Linked DNA regions of Schizosaccharomyces pombe. Changing the gene in region 1 together with any one later gene gives a genetic interaction. Each region holds a gene or a part of one and is shown in the gene's direction. Other genes may lie near its edges. The genes, in order: srk1, amt1 and wtf21.

Evidence for each region.
Region 2: mutations in srk1 (region 1) and amt1 together harm fitness more than expected from each alone (negative genetic interaction), as found in Schizosaccharomyces pombe (one large-scale study listed by BioGRID).
Region 3: mutations in srk1 (region 1) and wtf21 together harm fitness more than expected from each alone (negative genetic interaction), as found in Schizosaccharomyces pombe (one large-scale study listed by BioGRID).

What each region holds. Positions count from the first base shown.
Region 1 is NC_003421.2:1,300,262-1,304,017, forward strand, and holds the start of srk1 (MAPK-activated protein kinase Srk1), read left to right. Parts: upstream 1-1,675; 5' UTR 1,676-2,638; coding exon 2,639-2,650; intron 2,651-2,873; coding exon 2,874-3,756. Other genes in the region: protein mug150, read right to left, coding at 379-693. UniProt on the Schizosaccharomyces pombe protein: Delays the mitotic G2/M transition by promoting nuclear exclusion of cdc25. During osmotic stress, inhibits the G2/M transition in a sty1 stress-activated MAPK pathway-dependent manner.
Region 2 is NC_003421.2:2,066,963-2,070,718, forward strand, and holds the start of amt1 (plasma membrane ammonium transmembrane transporter Amt1), read left to right. Parts: upstream 1-2,016; 5' UTR 2,017-2,843; coding exon 2,844-3,756. UniProt on the Schizosaccharomyces pombe protein: Transporter for ammonium to use as a nitrogen source. Under ammonium limitation acts as an ammonium sensor, generating a signal that leads to pseudohyphal growth.
Region 3 is NC_003421.2:2,062,504-2,066,259, forward strand, and holds the start of wtf21 (wtf meiotic drive antidote-like Wtf21), read left to right. Parts: upstream 1-1,730; 5' UTR 1,731-1,948; coding exon 1,949-2,087; exon of another isoform or gene 2,088-2,254; coding exon 2,255-2,500; exon of another isoform or gene 2,501-2,521; intron 2,522-2,547; coding exon 2,548-2,793; intron 2,794-2,829; coding exon 2,830-3,021; exon of another isoform or gene 3,022-3,061; coding exon 3,062-3,124; exon of another isoform or gene 3,125-3,174; coding exon 3,175-3,278; 3' UTR 3,279-3,756. Other genes in the region: nucleoporin Npp106, read left to right, coding at 1-389. UniProt on the Schizosaccharomyces pombe protein: Acts as a suppressor component of the dual wtf meiotic drive system, and can suppress but not confer meiotic drive by compatible poisons.

The sequences.
Region 1 (3,756 bases):
CCAGTTGCTACGATTTTTGTTATACTGATTAAAATCCCAATTCAAGCTAACATGATGGATGGGAAATTTGGTTGAACTGCGGTTCAGAAGGAACAAAACTTACCTTTAAAAACCCTTCTAAAAAATTTCCTATGCGATTTCTTTAGCTGTCGCACGCTTTTTTCACTTATTCTAATACGACTCTGCCTTTCCTATCCGCCAATATCGTCTTAGCCAGTATATCCAAATTATAAGTATAAACATGAATACAGTAATAAGAGAACTGTTCATTCTTAGGTAGGCCTTTCTTATATAAACATATTCAGGTAAAATCAACATTAACTTTATATTCATTATGACTATTGAAGAAGCGATTCCTCAGCCTGTGCAAGCTGTCAGCTATATTTCCAAAGATTGGAATGATAACGTAATAAAACACAGTGATACGAAAAGAAACCATAGTAAAGAGGAATCATTGTAGAGAATCTCAGTAAAGTATGGAATCGCTATAAAGAGAAAATTGAACAGAGGAAAATCGCAGCAAAGAGATATGGTAGTACAAACAATCCATGCCTTATACAAAAGGTAAAGGTAATTCGACAGTACAATGATATTTTTTAAAAAAAACATGTTCTTTCTACTACAATTATTTGGCTTGTCACTTGAGGCAAAGACGGCGAAGCGTTTATCCATGATGATAAACAAGCTCGCCATCTCTATACTTAAGGGCTTGCATTGTATGGAAAGGGCGCAATTGCCGTGCCCTATAAGAAGAACTTTTGATTTTTCAAATGAATTTTAGATCTTGAAGTCAGGCGACAACAGCCAAAACATCATCTCATCTCATTCATTCAACAATGAGGAATGGGCGATTTTTCATCCAGCGTTTTTATCAGGTCAATTGCGTCGATCTCATTGTACACCAAGATGATGGATATGTAATGAAGCCAGCCAGTCGGCTTATGAAAATTTTGCTAATTATAAGAAATCAATTGCAAGTAACAGAAATGAGATGGATCGCTGCATCAACAAGGATAATGAGATAGACAGATAAAGTTTGTTGAAAATTTTCACGACAGAAGAAAATCACTCAACTAATCAACTCAAAATGGAATAACATGGAAATTTATTTCGCCAAACAGTGCAGAAGCCACTCAAAAGTGAAATGAGCAATGGAGGGGAGGAAGGAAAGATTGGTTGATTTGCTGTATCAGATGAAATTCATGGGTGAATGAAAAAGAAAAAAAGGTTTGCAAGAGGATGGATGAGTGAGATTGAAAAAATATTAGATCTCGAATAAATTCTTTCTATCCATCTTTCATAGTATACAATCGAAAACAAGATAGAACACATCCATGCCATCCATACTTCTATCTTTTTTTTTCTTTCTCTCTCTCTCTCTCCCCCCCTAGCATTCCTCCAACAACCTCTTTATAAACGATATCCTCTTCTCTTCCCTTCCTACACCAATATCCTCCTATTTTGTCTCTGATGTCATGCTGACCTCCACCCACTTTACACTTTTACCTCGCCATTGCACCGTGTCGCTTACCGCAAAACCTCATCGAGTCATGGATGCGCAACGTCACCACCATCGTAAGCGAATACAGAGTTGGAACGAGCGGCTCGCATGATGCCAATGACGTACGTTAACGAAGGACGTCAAAGTAGGCAAATCCGCCGACATAAACTTCTTGTCTTTCGCATACCACGATTGTTGGACACCAACAATATATTTCTGTGAAAATCAATTGAAAAGCTAATTTAGTAATTTTTTGGAGACTATTGGAAGGGTACCCAGTATTGGAAAGTTATATGATTCTTAAAAATGTACGTTTGTAAATGTTTGCTCACTCGTTCGTGTGGGTAATGTTTGAGTCGGATTTTTGTTTGGATTGTGGATGTAAACGCGGATATTAGAGGCTGGAGATGAGTATCGGAAAGACTTTGCGTTTGGAGAGTGTTGTTGACGTTACACTTCCTACCTTTGGACTGGGTTGGGGATAGGGATCTTAGGAGAGATAAGTGGACGAATGAATTAGGACGGTTGGACAATATCGAGTCTTGGAAGATTACTGAATTCTAATAAAAAAAAAAGAAAAGCAAGAAGCGATTTTTTTCTTTTGTGTTTTTATTTCATTTTTATTTTCTTTCCAAGTCTGTGACTAGTTTTTTGGACTTTTTTTTGGATTTTTTTTTTCTTCTACGTCAGGTGCTTTCATACGGAGATTTGCTCTTTCCTTGATGATCAGTTTTGATTTCATCTTTACCTTATTCTATATCACGTCTCCTTCCCCTTCTGCTAGGCGGTGATTGTATGCTTGACTTCATTCTCTACATCATTCAGGTGACGGGTTTCGCTTTCAAGTCGTTAAGTTAAATTTGGCGGATGCGCAAGTGTATCTTTTTTTTCATTCTTTTTGTGCGAAATTCCTTTTTTTTTTCTTTTTTTTTTCTTTTTTCTATCATCTTGTCTCTCTGTTATCTTGGTTTAGTTCAAGAGTACGGATGCGGATAGATCAGTGTCAAGAATTTGGAAGCAAATGTGTTGGCACATTTCCAGACGTAAAACCAAACGACTAGAGATCTTTAATTAGTTATTTTTCTAATAATACCCATATCTCTTGATTGATTCCGTTTGTCGCCGTCTGTTCAAATAATGCGTTTTAAAGTATGTTTGAATTACCAAAAGCATAACCATAACCATGCCTATTGATTATACTCCCATCCTTTCCATTCCATCCCTCTTCTCAGTAGGAAACATCAATCTCACCGCACTTCTTTTACGCATACAATGTGTTTTGGTTTTGTTTTCTTCCAACCACCTTTATCCATAAACACATTTCCCTTTTACTTTTTTTTTGTTTTTTGTTATGCTAATTTAATTTATTTAGAGTATTCAGCAAAATATCGAGGACGAGGGCAAGGTGAACGTTCGCGAAGTGAATCCCGATTCCTATGCTGAACGGGACCATGGCTATACTGCTGGCATATTTTCGGATGCTGAAGAAAATTTTGGCATAACTCAGCAAGTAGCGGACTCCACTCAAAATCCCACCTCGAAACCCAAGTCCCGGCATGCACATTTCCACGAGACGGTGCACGAGAATCCTTCCGAATATTCGCGCTCCAAATGTAAACAACCTACCAACGAAAAAGAATATGATAAAGCCATCGAGGCTTTAGTTGCAAAGGCCATTGTTGAGGAACATTCCGGCCAACAATTTCCTGTATATAAAGGCCTTGAACAATACACTCTATTACAAAAGATGGGCGATGGTGCTTTTAGTAATGTATACAAAGCTATTCACAACAGAACGGGTGAAAAAGTCGCCATTAAAGTTGTCCAGCGCGCTCAACCAAACACCGATCCTCGCGATCCCAGAAAAAGACAAGGCGTTGAATCGCACAACATTTTAAAAGAGGTTCAAATCATGCGTCGCGTTAAACATCCTAACATCATTCAACTCTTGGAATTCATCCAAACCCCGGAATACTATTACCTGGTTTTAGAGCTGGCTGACGGTGGTGAATTATTTCATCAAATCGTTCGCCTCACCTATTTTTCCGAAGATTTGTCTCGTCATGTCATAACTCAAGTTGCACATGCCATTCGATATCTGCATGAAGACTGCGGTGTCGTTCATCGTGATATCAAACCTGAAAACCTGCTTTTTGATTCTATCGACTTTGTGCCCTCTCGGGTTCGTAAATACCGTGCCGGAGACGATCCCGATAAGGTAGACGAGGGCGAGTTTATTCCCGGTGTCGGCGCTG
Region 2 (3,756 bases), 770 kb from region 1:
GGAAGAAAAGAGTAAAGGAAAATGGAATGAATAAATAAATAGAATTGACGACAATTTTAGTAGTGAAAGCGGTTAGAAGGGAGGAAAAGGATTAGAAAGAAAAAGTAGAAAGCGTATTATGAAGTATTATTTTGAAGATTGAAGAATGCATTTTCTAAGTTGCTTGAGTTTACTTTATTAGGGATTGTATTGCACTTGCACTTGGGATCAGGAGTAGGATTGGCATTAGGATTAGAATAGGATTTGGGATTCCTCTTTGATCAAAAATAAATAAAAAATAAAAAATTAGAAAACTTCTAGTGCTCTCGCCAGAACTAGAACTTTTTCATGCAACGGAACGAGATGAACGGAGAAATGCGGAACCAAGATGAAGCAAGACAACAAGTCGATTAACAATGAAAGAAAAAAATATCAATATAGTCGGAAAACAAAAAGATGATTGATTAATAAGGAAAGTATGAGAAGGAGGCGGTAATTTTGCAAGCGTTTCAATTGCAATGATATTACAAATTCAAAGTAATAAAATGATAAACATACATAAACAAAAATAAACATAAATTAAAAAATAAAAAAATAAAAAATCGAAAACCAAAAAAAAAAAAATTTATTAAAAAAAAAAAAAAAAGACAAGAACAAACAAACAAGCAGATAGGGAAGTGGAAAATTACAAATAAAATTTAAAAAAACAGGGGAAGAAAAGTCAAATCAAGGTAGAGATGAATGATTCATCATGTTAGCGTTTGACAAATTAAAGATCAAAGAATTTATTAGAGATGATAAACAAGGGCAGAGCTGATTAGATGAAAGAACGATGGAGAGAAAAGAGAGAGGAGAGAAGATTAAAGAGAGAGAAAAGAAAAAAAAAAGAAAGAAATTAAAAAAAAAAAAAAAAAAAAAAAAAAAAAAAGGAAAATTAAATGAATATCCTCTTTTTTGCATGTCTCTTTCTCTTCTCTCTCTCTTCCTTCTTTTCTCCCTCCTTCTCTCTCTCCCTGCCTTCCTTTCACATACGAATATTAAACTACTTCCATGTATCCGAACGGGATCGTCGCAGGACACTATGGATAGGCCGGACGAAACAAAAGAAAAGGAAAAAGAAGAAAAACAACCGTCATAACAAGGATGAGGAGCCGATCGAACGACAAAACATTATCAAAGCGATTCCAGAGATTCCTTTAATAGCAATTTATCAACTAGCACAAATCATAGTTGCACATAACATATATCAACTAAGCACACAACATATTCCATACTAGCTAGCATATCATATATTATACTACCACATACCCTACCCTACCCTACCCTACCTCCTGCGAAACCAAGCCATATCAATAATGCCTTTTGCCTTTGACTTTGAAACGTCAAAAACAATGGAAAATTGAAATTTTTTTTTTCTGTTTTTTTGAATGAATGAATGAATAAACTGTTGAAGTATATTTTCATAGCATCTCTTTTTTTATTTTTTATTTTTTTTATTTTTCATCTTTCTATTTCCATTTCCATTTCTATTTCTACTTCTACTTGTTTTCTTCTTTCTCTCCTTTCTACTGTCTTTTTTCTCTCTCTTTAATCTTCTCTCCTCTCTCTCTACTTTTGTCTTTGTCATTGTCATTGCCTTGTTGCTCGCCCGCCGAAACAGCTCTTGTCACCTTTACACCACCCTTACATCGTTACCCATTCTAAACTCTGTTCGGTTGATTTCGGTTACAGAGTCGTCCGATTGGTTAAGGAATTTGTTCTTTTATCGTTAAATACCCTTATCTCGTTACCTATTGCCCACTAAAGCTTTAAGTTAATCTCTTTACATAATCATTGCTCGCCTTTGGTCCAATCATTGCGTCGGATATAGATCTCTGCTTATCTCGATCGTTACTTTGAACCAATCATTAAAAATATTGCTGTCCAATTGCGTCCTTGCATTTTTGCCGTTATCAAACTTGATAACCACCAGATTTTAGGGATGCTTAGAATCTGCGCGCATATAAAACCGCCGACTCTCTCCCCTACCGTACGGTTGAGACGCGGATAACCAACGTTGGCCTATTTCACCCTGCACCTTAAATCTAACGATATTCCAACCTTAGAGCATATCTTGACGCCTGACTTGCAGTGCATCTCTTTAACTTGAATTTTACGCATTTCTTGCTCTTGTGCGTGCATATTTGCTAGCTAGGTAGTTTACAAATTCAAATTTCTCTATATTTGTTTTTGTTTTATTCTTTCATTCATACTTCCAGTCTGTTGGATTCGCTGGTTCAATTTTTGTTCTCGTTGTTGATACGTGCATTTACATTTACATCTGCTTCTGCTTTAGCGTGCATTTGTTTATTTTATCGTCATCGGTTTTTGGGTGGTTGATACAGTTTTCTTTTTTTTGTTTTGTAATAGAAGAAAGAAAAAAATTTGAAAAACAAAAATAATTCAAAGTTCAAAGGAAAAGAAGAATAATTTAATTCCTTTTTTTTTTCTCTTTATTAATTTTACTTATTTTCTCGAAATTTGATTTTTCTTCTTTTCGAGTGTTTTTCTTCTTCTTTTCTCCCCAATATTCAAATATCGATCCCCTAATTTCTTCTTGGTCGTTCGATATATATATAATTTGTTGTGTTTTCTTTTTATCGTTTGGGTCCTTGATTTCCTAGGTGTTTTTTTTTTTTTGTCTCTATAGAAAAATTCCTTCCATTTATACATACCTTATTAGTCTCGATACTATTTTATTTTACTTTTACTTTTCTTCTTTTCGCCAACAAACCTCTTTTGTTTGTAATTTTTTTAATCCCCTTTATTTTGGGTTGTGTTGGTCTCTCTTCATTTCTTAATAGATAGACAAGACTTCTTGAATCATGTCTTCCACTACCGATGCCACTCCCACCCCTTCGGGTGTCAATGGCGGTGATTCCATGACCGTCAATCTTAATCAATTTTACAATAATGGTGATGTTGCCTGGATTCTCACAAGTACCGCTTTGGTGTTTATCATGATTCCCGGTGTCGGTTTCTTTTACTCCGGCTTGGCTCGTCGTAGAAGTGCCATTTCTATGCTGTTTTTGTCAATGATGTCTGTCGCCATTGTTGCCTTTCAGTGGTTCTTTTGGGGTTATTCGCTTACTTTCTCTCACGAGGGTGGTCCATACATCGGATCCCTCGCCAATTTCGGTCTTCGCCAAACGTTGGGTAGACCTTCTTCCGGTGCTTCCAGTGTACCCGACATCTTGTTTTGCGTGTTCCAAGGTATGTTTGCCGCCATTACTCCCGCTTTGGCTATCGGTGCTGCCGCTGATCGCGGTCGCATGTTTCCCTGTATGGTCTTCATGTTTCTCTGGACTTCCATCGTCTACGACCCAATCGCCTTTTGGACTTGGAATCCTAATGGTTGGTTGAACAAGTTGGGCTCTTACGATTTCGCTGGTGGCTCTCCCGTTCACATCTCCTCCGGTATGGCTGCTTTGGCTTATTCCATCGTAATTGGAAAGCGTTGTGACCATGGTACTACCAAATATCGCCCACACAACGTTCCCCACGTCGTTCTTGGCACCGTATTTTTGTGGTTTGGTTGGTTCGGCTTTAACGGTGGTTCTTCCGCTGCTGCCAACATGCGTGGTGTCATGGCTGTCGTCGTTACACATCTTGCTGCTTCTGTTGGTGGTATTGTTTGGTGTGTTATCGATTTTGCCAAGAACCGTCACTGGTCTGTCGTCGGCTTCTGTGAAGGTGCCGTCGCTGGTTTGGTCGCCATTACTCCTGGCTCCGGTTTCG
Region 3 (3,756 bases), 760 kb from region 1:
TGTATGGTCAAGAAAAATGGGACGAAGTTCTTCAGCTAATTGAACATTTGGATCTTTTGCCAATCAATGAAGTGCAAGCTGAATTCGAACCCAATGAACAAATTCCACCAATTTCTGCACGTTTACGGCGTCGCGCTTTTGAGTTTTCCACATTCCAGGATGAGGTCTTGAGCGTTATTCCATCCTTAATGTACATTTCCATGTCTTCCATTAAAGCTTTGTACAGAACAATATCTAAACTTCCTGTAGTCAATGAGGAATCAAAGAAGAAATTACAACGTTTGCAATTTAAAGGGTCTATGTTGGTGATGTTCAGTACCATGATAGAATCACGGTTGTCTCCCCAAATTCTAGAATACCTTCAAGCTGAGCAACTGACTCTTCTGTAACGAAGCATTGGCTTCTTTTCTTACTGCGAACTGAACGTTTCATATATCCTCTTGATAGTTGTGTTCAATTTTTTGGTATTTTTGTATCTTTTATGACTTAAAAATAGGAATTTTATTCACTTGCCTTAATGCGTCTTTAAGCTTTTAATTCAATCCCAACATTTATTCATCTTAATGTTTTCCCATTTTTATAGTCTTCGAAACTTTATGAATACAATCTAGTAAACAAATATAATCGGGATTGCATAGCTTGCAAGGTCAAGTTTCTGTCAAATAATTGGTTCGTTTATCTGCTAAATGCTTCAAAATAATTTTGTAAATCATGTTATGCCGAATATTTCATAATAAATTCATATTTACACTTTTCACATAAATCCTCCACTTTATAGCACAGTGAATTTAGTTATGAGCCATTTATTGACTAGCTCAAAAGGCTTTACGTTTTTTACAAATAATTAATTATTTTTTTTAATATGATATGATTCTTATTGATATTTCGAATTCCGCACTCGCCTAAAATATATCGAATAAAATATATTATTTGAACTAAACGAACTAAAAAGTTGAACAACTCAAATCAGTGAAGGAGATATATCTTTTCGACTTTGTTCTACGATATGCCAAACGATTGAAAATTACTTGCCCATAGTTAATATATAATAATTAGTATGTAAACAAAAGGTAAATATAAAACCGAACAGCAATAAATGGGTGCAGGAGTATTTGATATAAGAAAATGTTGAAAATGTTGAAAATTTAATATAGTAATGAATACCAAAATTAAGTTGAATCAGTTTTTGTCTTTTCAAACGAAACAAATTAAAAAATTTTTTAAAAAAACTTTAGCATGGCTATGAACGACCAAATGCTTGAGTGAGATTTTAAATCACGAAACCCGCTACACAGTCAATTATGGTTTGCAGTTGCCAGACACGCGATTAACTATTTATTTAACCAGGCTTAGAACTACAGTGAGTTTTATTTGCGATTTAGTAAAGAGTGTGTATGCGATAGTAACGAACAACGATATTAATCATTGTTATGAGAATTTTAATAATATCATTCACACTGAACCTCATTCCTCAGTTCAGTTATGAGTTATATCGGTGACCGATACTAATAGACTTCTTATAACAATAAATATAATATTGTTAGTTAACATACCGCTTACCGCTATGTTGTAAGTCGCTAGAAATCTCGCCGCAGTGCTATGTATCGTTAAAGCAGATACCAAATTGCGTACTGACATTATAATTATACTACAACGTTTTGCTTCTCAAAAACGTTTAAGGAAATCTAAGTTGGGGTGAATAAAAAGGGCAGTGACAAAATAAATGTGTCAGAAGCAATTACATTAAAATGAGTTTTGGAATTCTACTTTTCACTTGCTATTATTGAAAAAACAGTTTGCTTTGAAACGAGTATTATTCATTTATTTATGTTGAACAGCTGAAATTGAACTCCAGAGCGAATATTCTTGATTTTGCTGTTTCGTTTGTCGCAATCATAGCAATTAATTCGCGCATGTGTTTTATTAAATAAAGAATGATCTTGATGAAATGAAGAATAATTACACTTCTTTGAAAAGTCCTCTAGATGAAGAAGATGAATTGAAGACAGATCATGAAATCGATTTGGAAAAAGGACCACTCCCAGAATATGATTCGGAGGAAGAGGGCGCATTACCTCCATATTCAGGTAAGAATTGTAAACAATAAGAAAGGAATTACTCAATGGAAAGTTGAAACTTGCCATCTTGTCAAATTGCATGCTTTGGTCATTGTTTACAGTCGGCCATGCAATGCACACAATTTGATACATGCTCTTTCTTTACTAAAGTATTTCAATCATATTAATTTAAACAGATCACGCACTTGTAAATAATCCTCCTAACACACATAGAGAAAACAATCCTTCCAGGTCGACAGATAATTCTTCCCCTTTCTTGATAAAACTGCTAATATCATTCACACCAATCTATGTACTGAATGTACTCGCAATTTGTTATCTAACGTATAAGGACGCTTTCTTTAAGGATTATGGTGCAGCAGAATGGACATTATTTGGATTTTGGTGTCTTGTTTGCACTTTGGCTTTAATATTCTTGACTTGTAAGTGAGACAATGGGTAATCTTACCTTCAGTCACTAACTCATTAGACTTCTATGAAACTTGGGTCAAGGCAGTTAAAGTAACTGTAATTTCCTTGGCAAAATGTGTAAAGGTGATTTCTATTGGCCTTTTCAACATAAGAAGAGAGATGATGATTATAATTTGGATACTCTGGCTAATCATTTGTTGTATACTCTTCGTTTACATCAAATCCGGCGATCTAATCTTAAACAAGGCACTCATCTGTTCTACATGCACTATTTCGGCTGTTTTACTTTTAATTGTATCATCTGGTAAGTGAAGTTACAATGCTAAACGCTGATAAACAGTTTGTATTCCATTTTGGACATTCGAGCGTACGTTGGCTAAGTTGGCAAAAGTGCTTTTGTTACAAAGTGGTATCGTGTTGGTACTAAACGGTACGATGTTTTTACGTGGTAAACATTTTGAACGGATAGGTTGTGAAATTGAAGCCTCTGTGTTATTTATTATGGGCAATGTTCTTTTTCTTTGCGAAATGGGTTCGTTAAATATTGCTTTACTTTATTCTAACCATGCCAGAATGTCCAGGTGCACTCATAAGAACACGAAACTCTATCAGGAATGGTATAGCTTTTATATTAGGTATGTGTATTCAACCAACTGTATGAATGATTTTTTACTTACCCGACTAGGAGGGATAGGAAATGCGATGATGGGGCTAGCAAATGCGATTAGAGGTGCCAACGATAATAATGACATTCCCTTGGGGGAAATGGATGTTGAAAGCGAAGTCTAGTTGCATTATTAATGTTGTGCTTCCGAACATCTCTATAATTGGAAAACTTTCTTTACGAAAATGGCCAACGCAAAAAAGCATATAAGCGATAGTTCATATTTTCCAGCTTTATCGCATTATATTTTTAACACATTCTTTTAAGTGTCACTAAGTTGTTTGTCCGATGTATTTACCTGAAAAATTTTAGTAAAATTTGAATGACAATTGAATGCAGTACTGCGAGATGATTTGATAATGAAATCAGAAAAGTTGAAGTTGGATTGGATATTTTTAATACTTTTTTTTTAAATTATTTTTGCAGTGTTTCATGAAATTTTGCTTTTAATGAGTCAAGATTAATTCCAACTATTTTCCTTTTTTAATAATAGCATTTGAATGTGTATAGGGTGCGGGACGTTAGTTCATCACATATTAAATACACTTTGATTGATGTTCCTTGTGTCCTACCATATCAACTGTCTTGTAGGAAAGGTCCATG